Linked DNA regions of Nothobranchius furzeri. The protein of the gene in region 2 interacts with the protein of the main gene of each other region in a biochemical or structural test. Links are inferred from orthologs where the notes say so. Each region holds a gene or a part of one and is shown on either strand. Other genes may lie near its edges. The genes, in order: arf6b and cyth2.

The links.
Region 1: the proteins of cyth2 (region 2) and arf6b form a complex in vitro, tested with the Homo sapiens proteins (3 studies listed by BioGRID and IntAct, with this or other methods). The link is inferred for Nothobranchius furzeri from reciprocal best matches to the Homo sapiens genes CYTH2 and ARF6.

Annotation. Positions count from the first base shown.
Region 1 is NC_091758.1:32,005,206-32,013,356, reverse strand, and holds arf6b (ADP-ribosylation factor 6b), read right to left. Parts: upstream 4,765-8,151; 5' UTR 4,643-4,764; intron 4,429-4,642; 5' UTR 3,801-4,428; coding exon 3,273-3,800; 3' UTR 2,651-3,272; downstream 1-2,650. Other genes in the region: aspg (60 kDa lysophospholipase), read left to right, coding at 6,405-6,732. UniProt on the Homo sapiens protein: GTP-binding protein involved in protein trafficking that regulates endocytic recycling and cytoskeleton remodeling. GTP-bound form plays an important role in the transport of multiple palmitoylated proteins form the Golgi to the plasma membrane.
Region 2 is NC_091745.1:76,531,460-76,539,814, forward strand, and holds the start of cyth2 (cytohesin-2), read left to right. Parts: upstream 1-2,703; 5' UTR 2,704-2,837; coding exon 2,838-2,904; intron 2,905-3,917; coding exon 3,918-4,068; intron 4,069-4,273; coding exon 4,274-4,340; intron 4,341-4,417; coding exon 4,418-4,536; intron 4,537-4,615; coding exon 4,616-4,696; intron 4,697-4,923; coding exon 4,924-5,036; intron 5,037-5,616; coding exon 5,617-5,765; intron 5,766-5,845; coding exon 5,846-5,957; intron 5,958-6,522; coding exon 6,523-6,599; intron 6,600-8,355. UniProt on the Homo sapiens protein: Acts as a guanine-nucleotide exchange factor (GEF). Promotes guanine-nucleotide exchange on ARF1, ARF3 and ARF6. Activates ARF factors through replacement of GDP with GTP.

The DNA.
Region 1 (8,151 bases), on a different chromosome or scaffold from region 2:
TGCAACTTTAAATAAACTATTTATTAAAATAGATTTGGTTTTTTTTTGTATTTAACATTGAGGTATTGATTACAGAAGATGGATGCAGGTTTGTGTGAACATGACTGTTATTTTATAAGGATGGGTGGTGTACTCTGAGGGGACCACGGCCCCCCTGACCAGCCCCTTGGGGCACCACTGCTCCTTCCTCTGATACTGAAACTCACACCTGAATGAAAGATGGTTGAGGCTCACTTCTGATCCTCTTTAGTCTCTGTGTGTTGCAGATACATAAACACCGCTCATCACCACACACGGACAAACTGGTTTACACTCATACAACTGTGTTAAACATCTGTAAATTCCCACGAAGGTCGGTGTGGGCATTCCCACATGATGAATTGTAACTAAAAAACTGGATATTTTAATTGTTTATGGTTGAACTTGTTGAAGTTAAGCGTGTCAGGTAGATGCACAGCTCTTCATGATAACTTTACGGTTTCCCTGGATTAGCAATTTCACCACAGCAAGCCTTCAGCTGGAGATATGACTGGAATGTGTTTTGGACCACTGCCCAGAGTACCTTGGACTCCAGGGCTGCACATTTTCGATCTTATGTGGCTTGCCTACCACAGCAGTTTGTATAAACCCTGCACTGAAACACCTGAAGTCAAAATAAGCTTGGGTCATGGCAGAGAAAAACAAAGACGCATCATGGCGATACTTATCACGACGCTCAACACCCATGACCTCAAACAGGAAACCAAACACGGCTTTATCCACTTCCGCACCTGTTTTAAACTCAGCTCTCCACGAGTTCAGGACTAATGCGCTTGAGGAGGCTGCAGAGGAATGACCGAGTTGACAGGGAGGGAGCAATTTCACAACCCAACAGGTCATTTAGTGCCCCTGAGGATAAGCAGTCATTGGACCAAAAGGTAACAAATGAAGTGTAAAGTAGGCGTTCCTTCCAGCAAAATCACCAGATAAATAAACTACCGTAATAATAGTGTTGGGCTTTGTAGAGTAAAAATGTCTGGGTTTGGCGAATTCTGCAGTGATGACCTGTAAGGGTGCGGCGGCTGAAGCGTAGGCCAGAATTAAGCCGGCAACCCCAGTCGGTTCAGTGTAATAATAGAAACCTGCAGAAGTTTGCAGAAGGAGCTCAGAGGAAACAGAGACAAATGAGTCAGACAAACCACACCCCTGAGAAGCATGATGACAGTTCAAGTTAGGTTTGGTAAGAGCGGAACACAGCCTCCTTAATGAGTCGCTGTTTTCTGAAGGTCTGCCAGTGGTCACCATAAAATAGGACTGCATCACATTAGGAAAACCTGCGATAGGCAATGACAGTGATTGATACTGCGATGACGATATTAGGGAGGGGGGGGGGGGGGTTCGATTACCAACCCCTCTTCCTGATTTCATGTAGAATTAAGCAACTTCCAGGTCAGCCTCTGTTTTGAAACCAGCCACACTGCAGATAGGTCTGTTGTCATGGGAACAGGAAGACAATATCCGTACACACTTGCACAAACAAAAGTAAGAGTTCATCAACAGTTTAGCCTCTTTTACTACCAAACGAGATGGATGGGTCTATTTCTGAGCTTCCTGAAACCCCATTCCCAAACATTTCCTGAGGGATCTCATCTCTGTCTCCTTCCTTGTTGCTAATAAAGTTGTGTTGTTTTAATGAAGATTGAAAACAAGAGCTCCCTTTGCCACAGCACACTTGTTTTATTAATGGGACGTGACTGTTTAAAGTTTATTTGCTGTAAATATTTCCCACAGAAGCTGAGTTATTGTGGTTTTGTCACCTAATCAGTCTGACCAAAACCTTCGGAGTTTTATAGACCTGAAAGCTCCAAGTCCTCTATCGGTGTGCAGTACTTATCCTAACGTATAATTCTACTCGTGTGTTATCTTTCGTGTGCTACTGCTGCTATTCTACTGTACTTGAGCTGTTGCAATAACACAATTTCCCCATTGAGGCACAAATAAAAGGTATTATCTTATCTTAATGAATTGAAGCGGATTCAGAGAGATAAGTTCAGGACGTCACAACTTCCTGCTAGCATCGATATGGCTCAAAACCAACATGCAGCATTCAAATCCAGTCCCCATCAGCTGTTTTTCAGCGCTGCCCTTTCAGTCGACATGTGGCTTTGCTCCAAGACAAGGCCGAGGCTGGACTTCCTGTTTGGGACATTTTCCCCGTCCACTGGCAAAAGGAGCTGAGGCCAGCTTTTAGACTCAAAAGTTGACTAAAAACTGATTTATCAGCTACAAGCTAAAGTGGATTCATCTTTAATTCCTGATGAAATACAATAAAACAGACATTAATTATTTAAAATTGTTTTTTTAATAATACATTACAATGACATTGTTCTGTGTACAGTTCCCCAGTCAAAACAGGAGTAAGCGCTGCACCCCAGAGTGTCGACCTCACCAGATAACGGCTCTCCCTGACTGCACCGACAGATGGACTCTGATGTAGGTAGGGTTAATGTACTTGATGTACTCATGCTACAGATATAGGCTATCATATAATGTCCCAATCACTGAGACTAACCAACCGTGAGATCAGGTTGCGATTTCAGAGCTGAATGACATTCCTTTGGAAAGATTGAGCCAACTACCCTCATTTAAAAAATGCACTTCCACAAGCATGTTTCTGTTACTGGTGGCCTATTTGTTTAATACTCAGCACAATTAGATATCAAGACATGACACAAAATGGTCAATCAGTTAACTGGATAGCCCACTTAAAAAGTTCAGAGGGGGTAACAAAACGTGTTTTTTCTTTGATGACTAATGACTGAAAAGTCGTTTTTTTCTCTCCAGATTTCACCCCCTCCTGTTTTTTGCCACAGTACTGTTAACAAAACTTCCCAAGTCCTTCGAGTAGGCTACACGACATTAAAGCGCTGACTGTTGAAGAAAAATAAGTGATCCGACTTGAACAAAGACATAACAGCTTCAGAAAATGAAGATTAAAAACTTAGAATAATATAAACTATATAAAACAGGAAGAAAATAGGCAAATGTGGTGATCTCTATAGCTTTAAACCTTAGGACCAATTGTTTCAATATTCAAGCAAGCCCCATTAATAACTGTAATTCAGGCCTGCTGCAGAACACAAGCAAACTTTAAGCCAGCAAACCCAGCTAAAGATAAATTAGTCAAGGGATAAACAAAATAAATGAAGATTATCAATTTTTCTTAACCGTACACATTTTTTGAGAAATTGTTACTTTTTTTGGATGCTTTGACCTAAAACAGTCAGCACTCATTAAGATTTGTAATTTGAGGTTAGCCACGTCAGCCCCTCATACAGTCCATCGCCCGTGGTTGCACAGGAGGGCTGAACGTACCAATTCCGATCTCTGATGCGGGTCAAACCCAGCTTCTCTTGGATTTCATGTGGCTTCATGGCGTCTGGAAGGTCTTGCTTATTGGCAAATATCAAGATGATGGCATCTCTCATCTCCCGGTCGTTAATGATGCGGTGAAGTTCTTGTCTCGCTTCGTCTATGCGATCCCTGTCTGCGCAATCCACTACAAAAATTAAGCCCTGGGTGCCTGTGTAGTAGTGTCGCCACAGCGGACGGATCTTGTCCTGGCCTCCGACATCCCAGACATTGAACTTGACGTTTTTGTAAGTGACTGTTTCCACATTGAAGCCAACTGTAGGGATTGTGGTCACAGACTGTCCCAGTTTCAGTTTGTAAAGGATTGTTGTTTTCCCAGCAGCATCCAGTCCAAGCATCAATATTCTCATCTCCTTGTTGCCAAAGATCTTTGAGAGCATTTTCCCCATTTTGAACTCTTGGGCATAAATATTTTGTTCCAAAGGGGAAAAAAAAAGTCTGATAATGTATTTGTAGGTGTTTGATTTCAGTATTGGTGAAAGCGTGAATAAAAAAAAAGGGATATTTGGGCCAAAAATCAAAAACACATATTCAAACCTAAAAAGGATTACTATAGTTTTCCGGGAAGCCTGTCAGGATCCTTTTGAGCGCAAAAACATTAAAGTTCAGATGATCAAACCTCTGCGTGAGCCTACAAACAGCATGACACAGTGGGACTAGGAACTTGGCAGCAGCAGTTGCAGGCTAGTCATTGTCTTTAAAACTAAACAAAAATAAAGTTATTTGGGACAAACACTGGCCGTGGGACAGAGATATTCAGCGTGTGTTAAGAGGCCCTCCAAAAAAGCCGCGATGCTGAAGGTGATTTTCTCCTGGTGTTAGTTGTATGAGGCGGTTCTCCTCACCGGGTGCGCCCTTGTTCAGTACACTGCTGCCTGGGGAGAAACTGCCGCTATATGCGGCTTCTTCAAAGGAGGTCGCGACGGGCGGTCACACCGCGCTCAAAGGGACGATTACGGTAGAAACAAATCCCAGTGACTCGGTTAGAAAAGGCCCACTCAGGAAACTCTGGTCGCACTGAAAAGAGATTTAGGGGGAGGGTCAGACATGAAAAATTAGCCAGCTATCGCTCGTGGCTGTTAGTCAGCTAGCATTAGCTAAGCTAACTAGCGATAGCCAGTTAGCTGCAGTAAACTACTGAAATGAAAACATCAAAACACGCATCGGTGACACATTGCCCAGTATACAGTTGCATATTTCATACTGGTTTGTGCAAAGGTACGGTATTTACCCGTTTATTTCCCTCCAGACTCGATAAATTTACTCAGCTCTTGTCTTCCTTCTTTAACTGGAGCTGGCCGCACTCCTGCTACACCGGAAAGGTGTGGAACTGCATCAACAGCCACTTCCTCTCGTCTGCTCCATTAAACTGGTTCCGTCTTTTGGCAGGCCGTTGTATAACATAATCAAACTGCACACATTTTAACTTGCTTTCATCTTCACCTGTCAGCAAAACAAACAAATAAACAAATAAATAAATTCTCAACTGCGAGTGGGAAAATGTTATATAGCAATCAATTATTTTCTTTGCTTTGGCTTTCGTTAAACATTTATTGGTTAGACAGGAACCAAAACGTAATTTATTCTAGTTCAGTAATTAAAAAAATGTTTTCCACGAATTCACAGTCAATAGATGTTGGATGCCATCTTAGGTCGTTTGTATTATATTCATTAGCTCTCGAGCAAATTAAACCAAGAGCAACAATTGTGAGGCTATAATTAAATCAACTTACATTTCAGATATTTACAAATATACGTATTTTTTTATTTGCCCTTTATTGTCTAATTCAAACTGTATTAAAAATAAATGTAAAGAATTTATTAGATGGTAGAAAAATGGTAGACAATTTGTTTTCTATTGCTAAATGTTTTAATTTGGAAAAGTTATATCTTCATGGAAAACTTCATGTATGGTAAGACAACTAGACAACTAGTTATTTCTTCCTCGTCTAATTCACATTTTTGATTGCAATAACAATATTACTCAAAATGAACATATTCTTAGGACAAAGTTTGTCATTACCTTCATTCCCACAGCTCAGTTCTCTTAACCTCAAAATCTAGACCAACCAAAGAAGCAGCAAAAATAATTTGATTCCAGGTTAGTATAGAAACACTCCATTGTAGCCTCAGCAGGTCTACCACTGGCCCGAACACTTTTGTATCTTGTCAATCACAACACTCTATGTTTGTTGTGCGGGCTTAGCGCCAGAGCTGTGACAAAGAAAATTTACAAAGATGGTGTTGGCTCTTGGACTGAACCTGGTTTTGTAATAATCTACTGAGGTTTTTATAAACACCTTTAAATCAAATGGAACAGATGTGTATTATCTACAGATTGAACTCCAAAACACAACACGAAAAATAATCTTGAATAAGCAAAATAATTTTTTTTATTCTAATAAAAAAAACGAATTATCACAAGAATAAAAAAAACACTAATTCAGACATGGATTCCTTTGACAAAAAATGGGAAAGACGCACTTGTTGTCCTATACAGCTGAAAACCTTACCCACATGAAACATTTTTGATGTATGCACATTTTTCACTTAGACCAGGAAACATTGATTCAAATTATCTGGAAGTATTAACCAATTTTACAATTGAAAGTTTAAAAAGCCATTTATACATTTGCGATTTTTTTCATCTGAAAATTATTTTGTAACAATTTTAATTGTAAAATCCCTAAAATAAGTTTACAGAACACAAGAAAGCTTGGACTATCAGGAATTTTGTCTTGGATAAATGTTAGAATGGCTTGCTACACTTGAACTCCAGCACCGAGCCACGCCTTCATTTGGTGACGTCAGAGAAAACGTGTCTCCTTCAAAAATTTTAAGGGCAAAACTTGAGGTGATTAGGATGCGCGTGTTTCAGGCGATGGTTTCAGGGGAAGAGCTAGAAATTAAAATATGACAACATTAATAGTCACACTTCTGGTGAAAGCCTCAACCCACGCAAGCTGCTTTGTGTATAAACGGGGAGACATTGTATGAGGCAGGGCGCTGAGAGCTCATCCAGACCACCGTATTCTCATCCCTTCAAGGAACAAACACCTCTTCAAGGCACCATGGCGGACTCCAACTGCGACTCCCCGAGCTCCCTGGGCCGAGCTCTGTCTCAAACTTCCCTTCAGCAGATCGAGTTTAATGATATTTCTCCGACAGCCACCCTCCAGAGACACCCGAGCCGAATGAGAAGGCTGTCAAAGTGCAGCTCCGTCGAGAACGGTGAGCTACTGACTTCACCTTACGCCGACGAGTCCCGAGTGCTGGTCATCAACACCGGGGGAACCATCGGGATGACGCTGCACGATAACGGTATGTTCAGCTAACGGTGCTATTTTAGTGCACTAGACCCTGGGGCGTTCAGGAAGCGTCCGGTGTTGCGTTCAGGTGCTTGTTCAGAACATGTCTCCTCTCAACAACACGAGGCTTGGATTAAGTTTTGCGTGACAGTCACGTAAAAATAGCTTGCGGATCAGCTTAACGCAACTGGTCATAACAGGGTTGGTGCGCCATGGTGTAGCACGCAGGAGCACGTTAAAAAATAAAATAATAGTGTAACTCTGAGCAGAAATAATTTAATATTTATTGAATAAAACTCTATTCATAAATAAGATTTCATGCATTAGTATGCATCACAAATTGCTACACATAGGGCAAACAAAATTAATGCAAACAAAATAAAAAGTTGCTCCTTGTATGGAGAGAGTCCATCTACTTCCGGTCAATTGGTATGCCAAAATCCCCCCAAAATGAATGGGAGTCTATGGCTCGATAATAGTTGAGTTATTTTCTGATCCGTTTGGTATGTGACGTGTGACTTTCAAATACATGTTCTGGTGGCAAAAGTAACTTTAGGTTTTTGTGTGAAAACACGTAAAGAACTCTTAATAATTGTCTCAAACAATACATCATCAAATCAGACAAGAAGAAAAATGTCAGTGAGTTTAGCGAGCTTCACATCCTTCTTCCAGAATGAAAGGAGGGACATTAAACATGGAGAAAACCACTTTAAATCTGGCCATGTGGACAGTACCAGCTGCACCGGGGGAGAAAAGATTCTGCTGTGATGTCATACATGTGACGTCTGATTTGTAGTTTAAATTAAGTATTTTTTACAAGCAAGCAAACCTCAAATTATGGGACAGACATAGTCTGAATACTTATTTATCATTTAAATTGAAGTACAACATATGTGTGATTCAGGGCATAAGGCCACAAAATAACCTTTATAGCTCCGCGCCGTTCGCCTACATTATTATTGTTTTTTACAGTCGGGACCCGTGAGCCGATCGGAAGGGGATGAGACTAAATCTCCTTATAGGTGAAACGTCATCCTTCATTGAATAACCAGATGTTGACCTGTGGAATTACACAACACCCGGGGATACAAAATAACATTCAAAGGTCCTGTAAGATTTAACCAGCTCACAATGATCTGTAAAGTGTTGGATTATCCAAGAATCAAGAAAATAGTTAATTTATTGTAGCGTATCATGAAATTAGGAGTGGTTAAACTTATTTATTTCGTACGTCTAAATGGAGCTCTTCCTCACAAATAGTAAAACAACATTTCTCCCTACAGGAATACTTTTCTAGACGCACATTAATGCACAGATATCTCACTCCAAAAATGTCTAAAAATTATTGCAGAAAATATGTAAATGTAACCTGAAAGACCTGCAAACATCTGTTTAAGGTGTACTACTTTAAAATATAGCTGCAAAGTCTTTC
Region 2 (8,355 bases):
ATTTGTTTCTGCCTTGTTTCCCTTTTTGAGTGCACAATACAACTAATCTACCAACGCTGCTTTGAGCTTACACAGCTACCAATGCTAGTACACTTTGAGGCTAAGCTTGTAATATTACTAAAACAGAAAATGATACATACACTTTGGGCGAAAAGTTGTTGCCAAAATGTTTACTCTTGGTGTTGAAGAGCCTAGTCATGACCGTTTACTTTCCTAGACCAGCGTCGTCAGTGGCCAGAGCCGGGACCATGGTGTTGTAGACCAATTTGCTATGACGGTGTCCAGTTGAAAATGCTATGAATTTGTCTGTAGTAAACTACCTGTAATCAAATGGTAATTATTACTAAATCAATGAAATGTATACAAATGCAGTGTACCAATTATAGTTATCTGTTTGCAAATAAATGTAACTTCATACATTTGTCTTGTGTAAAATCATTTGTCTTTCTAACGTGTCTCTGAAAAAGATTAGAGTATTTTTGCTTTAGATTTTACTTTAAAGGTCTCTTACCTCAATCTTATTTATCTAAGATGAAATATTCACTCCATCTGAAACGTGTACTAACTGCTTTTACTAGGGATGCCCAGATCTGATCGCGTGATTGGAAATTGGTCCTGATCGGTCAGAACTGGACAGTACCTCCCGATCCAGACTCGGGATACATATAATTTATTTATTTTTTTAACAATTTAACACAGACTTGGACCTCTTGACTCCACACTGAAACAGCAACCTGTGCGGCATGACATCTCTTTGTTGGTTAAACGCTGGCAAAGTGGAACATGGAAGTAGAAAAGCGCAAGTATGTAGAAGAAGAAGAAAATATCATTTCTATAGCGCCTCTCGATCAAAATCACGAGGCGCTTCACAAAAACAAAACATGTAAAAATATAAAAAAGCATTTAGAAAATGTTTAAAAATATATTAAAATGAGCAAAAATAGGCAATTGTGATTAAAAAAGTTAAGAAAGAGAGAGAGTAAACAGGAAAGAGGGAAATCGGTGGGTCCTGAGGAAGGTGGAATAGGTGGGGAGAGCAGAATAAAGAGAGAGAGGTGAAGAAGGTCATACAAAAGCCAGCTTGAACAGGTGAGTCTTCAGCTGCTTTTTAAAGGAGACCACTGAGTCCACTGATCTCAGGCTCAGGGGGAGAGAGGTCCAGAGTCTGGGGGCCACAGCAGCAAATGATCTGTCACCTTTGACCTTTAGCCTGGTGCTGCACAACCAGTAGGCTTTGGTCACTGGACCTGAGGGACCTGCTGGGGGTGTAGGGACTAAGAAGATCACCAATGTAAGATGGTGCTTGTCCATGTAAGGCCCTATAGACCAGAACCAGGATCTTGAAATGAACCCTGAAGTTGACTGGCAGCCAGTGAAGCTGGATGTATGCAGTCTTGGGAGGTAAAAAGTTGATGACAACATTAAACTGAAGTCCAAAAGTGAAGAATTTTGGTATTTATTACTTGATTGTTCAAGAAGTGCTCTGTTTGTTACTAGAGGAACATCCTGGATCTGTTTCTTTGCTCGTTTTCATTATTTTTTAAATGTATGATAGAAGTTTTGGATCAGGACTTGGTATCGGTTGATGCTCAAAATTAAATGACTCAGTCTCGAGAGCAAAAGAACCTGATCAGGTCAGCCCTAGTTTGGACATGGATATTTTACCAAACTGACAAATCAAATGCCTGGCTTGGATTGTGTTAAAAGTGCAGTATGTAGGGATACAGTGAGAAAATACCAAAAGTGTGTTGTCATTTTGCAAGGAAAGTTTTACTGGAACATATTTCACATCCAGCTGGCTGTTGGATTGTCAGTTTTTCTCCTTTCAAAACAAAGGAAGGAGTGACGTAACTGCTGTTTACCATCAGTGAGTGTGGGGTCGCCATGTCTCCCGTGAGTTAATATTGCAGTGCCAACTATTATAATTTGATGACGGTCAGCAAAAAGCTCCAGTTGTTTAAAGTGGTTGCAGTAACCACATTTTACCACAGGATATACTTTTTACTTCATTTCTACATAATGCACCTTTAAGACAAACTTAAAATAAACCCTCAGTTCTTCACTTCATTGGTGATTTTGGTTTGGGTTGTAAAAGCAACTAAAAAGTTGGATACAACAGTCTGGACTGAACTTGCATTAGGTTGCTCCTCTGATACAATCAAATGTACTAAAGAGTTTCTATACTATGAATTAGACTCTTCATACCAAAAGGTGATTAGCCAAATTGCAAGATTAATTTTCATTTTGTAGGCCAAATGGGTGTTACTGATACAAAGCAAATTGTCATATTGGGTAATAATGGGCTTTATATACAATCTGAAATATAATTTGAGATCAAGCTGGCACCATATCAGCGATCAACTCAACTATTGCTATTAGCCTAGTCTGGAGCAAAATGCAAAGAACAAACTTCAGTGATGAGTGTTTTAGTGAAACCAAATCAGAGTTTAAAATGAAGTTAAACCAGAATAATAGGAAACCCCCCTGCCTAATCTCCTTTCTTTTAGATTTCTCATGTTAACAGAAAAATCACTGGACCCACACGGAAACTGGAGTATATTTTATACAAAATTGTAATTTATAATTAATGAGGGATAGTAATAAATGGTTAAGTCTTAAACATTCAACTTTGTATTTTTTGTATATTGTGCATTATGCTAAAGTGAATTTTGTTGTTTTATTTTGAAAGTTGACTGACCGGAAGTCGATCGACACCGCTTCCGGTGTCGCCACCTTCTTTGTCTACGGCCCAGGATTTCAACACCAGGGGATGTCAATTTTTTCCTTTTAGTTCTGTGGATATATTTCCTAATATATCCCCAATTTTCTGACATTTAATGACAGTCGACTCTGAACTATTTATGCCTAAAAATAAAGCGCCAAAAATGGATGACCTGGACTACAGTAAGTGGGCTTACTGAGTCGGTCTTTTCGGAACGCCGCCGTAGCTAACTGGCTAGCTGTGTCGCTTTTGGTTGACTTTATATTTGCTCCGTTAGACTAACTTCTCCCGGTGATCATACCAGTCGTCTTTTTTGTTCTCTATAAAAACGTGTGTACGTATTTAGCATGTATGTAGAAATAAGCCGCAACTGCATATTGTTTTTGCTAATTAACTATTGATTCTGTCGGTGTTTGTTCTTGGCTAACTTTACAGCTAACCTCGGTGGACATGATTTACGCATCAAACTGCATATAAAGGTCTTATAAGCGATTAATTATAACATAAAAGCCTCTAAAGTCTCGTAAGTAATAAACATTTAGGTATGTAGAAAAATGTATGCTTTGGGTGTGGCATTTTATTGTTTTGGGGGGTTACAATGGTTTGGGGATTTTAAAAATATCCACCAAGAGCTTACATTTTCTACGTGGTTTGAATTGATTAGTTTAAAGGCGAAATGTTAACAGAAAATTAACTACCCGTTTCTAGCATCACTACAATGTTTAGTTGAGAGAGTTGCTGTTGGTTTCTGCTGTAATATTGTTGGTCCAGTTGAAAGCTGCAGGTGGTGGTGCTGTTGAATTTCATTGAATTGCACTTCCAAATGTCTTCAATGGACATCAGGCTGTGTCATTAAATCACACCCACCTTCAGCAGGACAAAAATAATTCTAGTTGTTTAATGACAAAATACACATTGTAAGGTGTTGGTGCTTTCAAATATAAAATTATTGGGAAATTTACCAACTTGCACCAGTTTTACTTCAAATGAAAACCACGCAGCTAGCAAGGAAATGCTGAGTTCTTTCAGGCTTTTCATGTGCAATTCATAATTTTAGTATTTTTAATTAGTTTTAATAAAACAAACATTTTCTCCCACTAGTGGAGATTGCTTTTGACCTAGATTCTTTGGGCACAGCTAACGTTTTGTTGGTTCTGCAGCACCAATGCTGTCATTCTCTTGTCTTCCCCTGCAGTCCCAGTAGACCTGAGCCCAGAGGAGCGCTCTGAGCTGGAGGACATTCGTAGGAGGAAGGGCGTCCTGCTGCAGGAGATCCAGAGGCTCAGGGAGGAGTTGAGGGAGGCTATTTTAGAAGTGGAGGGACTAGAGAGCAGCACAGAGGGCAGGTAAAGAAATTCTTATTTACTATAAATCAAAGAAATAGCATTGCAGCTTTTGACCTAAATCAACACAATATGCACAGATTTTTAAACTTGTGTGTTAGTTTTTCATGTTTCTATTAGTATTTATTGTGTTTTTGTTTCCAATAACTTGTTGGTGTCTTAAAAGAAGTATGCGGTTTAATTGAGTTAACTTGTGTTGTTTCTGCAGTAAAACTCTTCAAAAAAGTCGGCACGTAGCGATGGGAAGGAAGAAATTCAACATGGACCCTAAAAAGGTAACACTGTCCTTTAGATTTGCTGATTTTGATATTTTTCTGGGATTGCTCTTTTCATTTATGGACTATTTCTGCAGGGTATTACGTTTTTGGTAGAGAATGAGCTGCTCAGACACACACCAGAAGACATCGCTCAGTTCTTGTACAAAGGAGAAGGCCTCAACAAGACTGCCATAGGAGACTACCTGGGAGAGAGGTGGGAGGTGTTGAAGTGTCTTTTGTTCCTGTCGTCTCTTTCATGCAGCCGTTTGTAACTGTGGTCTGTTTTGCTGCAGAGATGACTTCAACATCAAAGTGCTTCAAGCTTTTGTCGACCTCCACGAGTTCACAGATCTCAACCTCGTCCAGGCTCTCAGGTGAACTGCATCCACTTCTGTTGGTTCTGCATTATATGAAGCTATTAACATGTAATCGGGGATTCTCTAGTGGACAAACATGCCCAACAATGGAACCCCCCCCCCCCTTCTCTCAGATTGGGTTGGAACAACATTATGCAACAAGTCAAAACTGACTATGTAACTCTGCCTTAGTGGCTGAATTTGATCTCTTAGGCTTGACCCGAACCCTGTCCTGTTTTCTACAGACAGTTCCTGTGGAGCTTCCGTTTGCCTGGTGAAGCACAGAAAATCGACAGAATGATGGAGGCCTTTGCTCAGAGATATTGTCACTGCAACCCCGGCGTCTTCCAGAGCACCGGTAATCACAAAACAAACCGTTTTTCTCGTAGGGCTAGTAGTAATGCCATTTTTAACCAGCATGAATCTTATTTTAAAATATTTTTTGCACCTTTAGATGTGTTTTGTTTTGAGCTGGCCCTTTTACACCACATTTCTGCCTTACGGTGCTCTTTTCTTATTTATTTTTTATGAGTTCTGTGTTTGTTCAAGCGAAGCCAAAGTGACTAAAGGTATTTTTGCCAAAGGTCGGCCCTCACATAATCTGCCCCTGACCAGAAAGCATTCCCTCTTAACATTTATACACACCTTTCATTAAAGGCAGTTAGTGTTGTTTTTCATTGTTTCCGTCAATTGTTCTGTAATGTTTTACATGTAGTCAGGTTTCCCTTTGCTTCAGGCACAATAAGCTCAGCAGGATTAACACGTTGCAACATAAGTCCACATATCTGTACTGCAGGCTGGGATGATGGAAGAGAAATTGTTCAGCCAGTTCCAAACATCCACTTAGAGCAGAAAATATGCAAACATAACCCATGCTCTGCTGTAAAGTGTGTTTCTGTTGACTCTCTTAGTTCTTCTCTTTCCTCTCCTGTTTGCAGACACGTGTTATGTGCTTTCGTTTGCTATAATAATGTTGAACACAAGCCTCCATAACCCAAATGTGAGGGACAAACCTGGACTGGACCGTTTCATCTCAATGAACCGAGGCATCAATGAGGGGGGGGACCTGCCCGAGGAGCTGCTCAGAGTACGAGTCACTGGATGCCCCGTTAGAATATTTATGAGCTTGTTTATTTATTTGTTTATTTGTCTTGTTTGGTTTTCCAGAATCTGTATGAAAGCATTAAAAACGAGCCCTTTAAGATCCCAGAGGACGACGGGAACGACCTGACGCACACGTTCTTCAACCCAGACAGGGAGGGCTGGCTTCTCAAACTCGGTATTTTGACCCTGATCTCGTGTAATCTGTAGCTGAGGAGCTCGGTGTGTGATGCCGGTATCAGGACAAAGTGTTACATTCTGTACTTTCACCTCTCTGTGTTGTGATGACCTTGTCCTCCTGTCTCTGAGGCTCGTCGCCTCTTTGTCTCCACCTGAATCATCGCCTCACACCGTGGCAGTGTTTAAACATCTCCATGGTGTGTTGGTGAAAGACGCGCTCACTCCTGTGTGCCGTGGCAGTTTGGACATCTGTTTGTTTTCTTTTTGCATGACGGCGACCTGTGATCAACGTGTCACTAATACGATCTCCGTCCCCTCTTCTACCTCCCTTCTAAATCCTCCGGTTTCTTTTTGTCTCTGCTTCTTCCCTGAAATTTCCACCCTCTACTGCCGCTGCTTGTTTTCTCAGGAGGTATGTACTGAAGAGCGTCCAAAAAGTTGTAGAAGTATTAGTAGGTCGTAGTTAGAATACAGAATTCGTAGCTTGGTAGAGTAAAAGTTCAAATCCTTTTTTTTTTCTTTTAACTTCCATCTCTTATTGTCCTGTTGTGACTTTTTCCCAGGAGGACGAGTGAAAACCTGGAAACGTCGATGGTTCATTCTTACCGATAATTGCCTTTATTACTTTGAATACACCACAGTAAGTATTTAATGCAACAACCATAAGAAGTATTTTATTATGTTTAGAATTTAAACTGAGTAGTTGTTTCAGATTAGCCTGGCAAGCCATCCTATATATGTAAATATGTAGTCCGACCCATTGAAACAACCCGGTCGTGGGGCAGAATCGAAGGTTGTCTTTCTAACAGTCTGCGCACGTAATCGGATAGCGCCAGGACCAATCAGCAACAAATAATGTGACGTGTTATTTGCTATGTACATCAGTCAACGGGGCAGTCTGACACACACCTCTGTCTGCTCATGATTCCCAAGAAAAGCCCAAGTCTAAATCATCCACAGGGTATCCGCGGGTCCTTAAAAAGTCTTAAAAAGTCTTAAATTTGCTTTTCCAAATTTAAGGCCTTAAAAATCCTTAAAAATGACAAACAATCCTTAAATACAGTTTCCAACGGTCTTAAATGTCCAAAGACCCAATAAACAAGATTATTTTCTTTCCATAAAATTTTTATAAATTTCTAGTTAGTGTTCAGCAATTTTTGTGTATAATGTTGGCGTAAGCGGAACCGTACACATTCAGTTGGTTGTGAAAGGGGGCTATTTTTACATGAGCACATTAGCTGGTTAAGCTAGTGGGAGCTTGCACCATGGGGAAGTGAAAGTTTAATGGTAACTGGATGGCTAATCCCACGTTGGCGACGTGGTTAGCACTGGTTCCAGGCAATAGCTGGAAATTATAGCTTAAATTTAATTTTAAAAAATTGCTTAAAATTGGTCAAAATGGCCTTAAAAAAGGTCTTAAAAAGTCTTAAATTTGGCTCCCTTAAACCTGCAGTTACCCTGCGGGATTAGAGCATTGCTGAGCTGTCGCTGTTCTGGTGCTAGGTCCACCCAACGTCTCTACCAACCTGGAGTGCTGTGATTGGCTAGACACAAAACAGTTTGGGCCAATGGTAGACCGACCTGCTGAGGCTACAGTGAGGTGTGGCTAGACCAGGGATATCCAATTCCGGGCCTTGAGGTCTGATATCCAGCGTGTTTTAGTTCTAACTCTGTTTCACCACACCTGATTTTAATCAGCAGGTGATTAACAGGCTTCTGCAGAGCCTGATGAGCTGCTGCACAGGTGAGTCAAGTGCGTTGAATCAGAGAAACCACTAAAATGTGCTGGATACCGGACCTCGAGGACCAGAATTAAATACCCATGAGCTAGACCACTATTCAGACCATTTTAGAAGTTGCCCTGCCTTAAAACACCTGATTTTAATCAGCAGGTGATTAAAAGGCTTCTGCAGAGCCTGATGAGCTGCTGCACAGGCGATTCAACTTTGTTGAAGCAGGGCGACCTCTAAAACGTGCTGGATAGTGGCTCTCCAGGACCAGGGTTCCCTACCCCTGAGCTAGACTGACCCGTAGAACAGAATCTGTTGCTGCTGCTGCTACGGTTTGTTTAGATTTCTAGGCTAGTTTCAGTTGTAATCAAGGAGAATCGGCTGTCCTGAAACTTTAGGTTTTGTAGAAATAAATAATCTTGTTTTGCATAAACAAAGAACAGCAGCCCATAAACATTCTATTTTATACCACTAGGGGGCGACGTTGGGTTTCTAAGAGAAGTTTAAGACTTTCCCCCGATTTAACATTTTTATTGAGTTTATGGTTCTTTTAATATTTGTACATTTCATTATACAAAGGCTAACATGTTATTATAGTTGAAGTTAGTGCAAATTAGTAAAATATCAGAATATATATTAGGGGTCGATTAAGAAATGTGTGTGTGG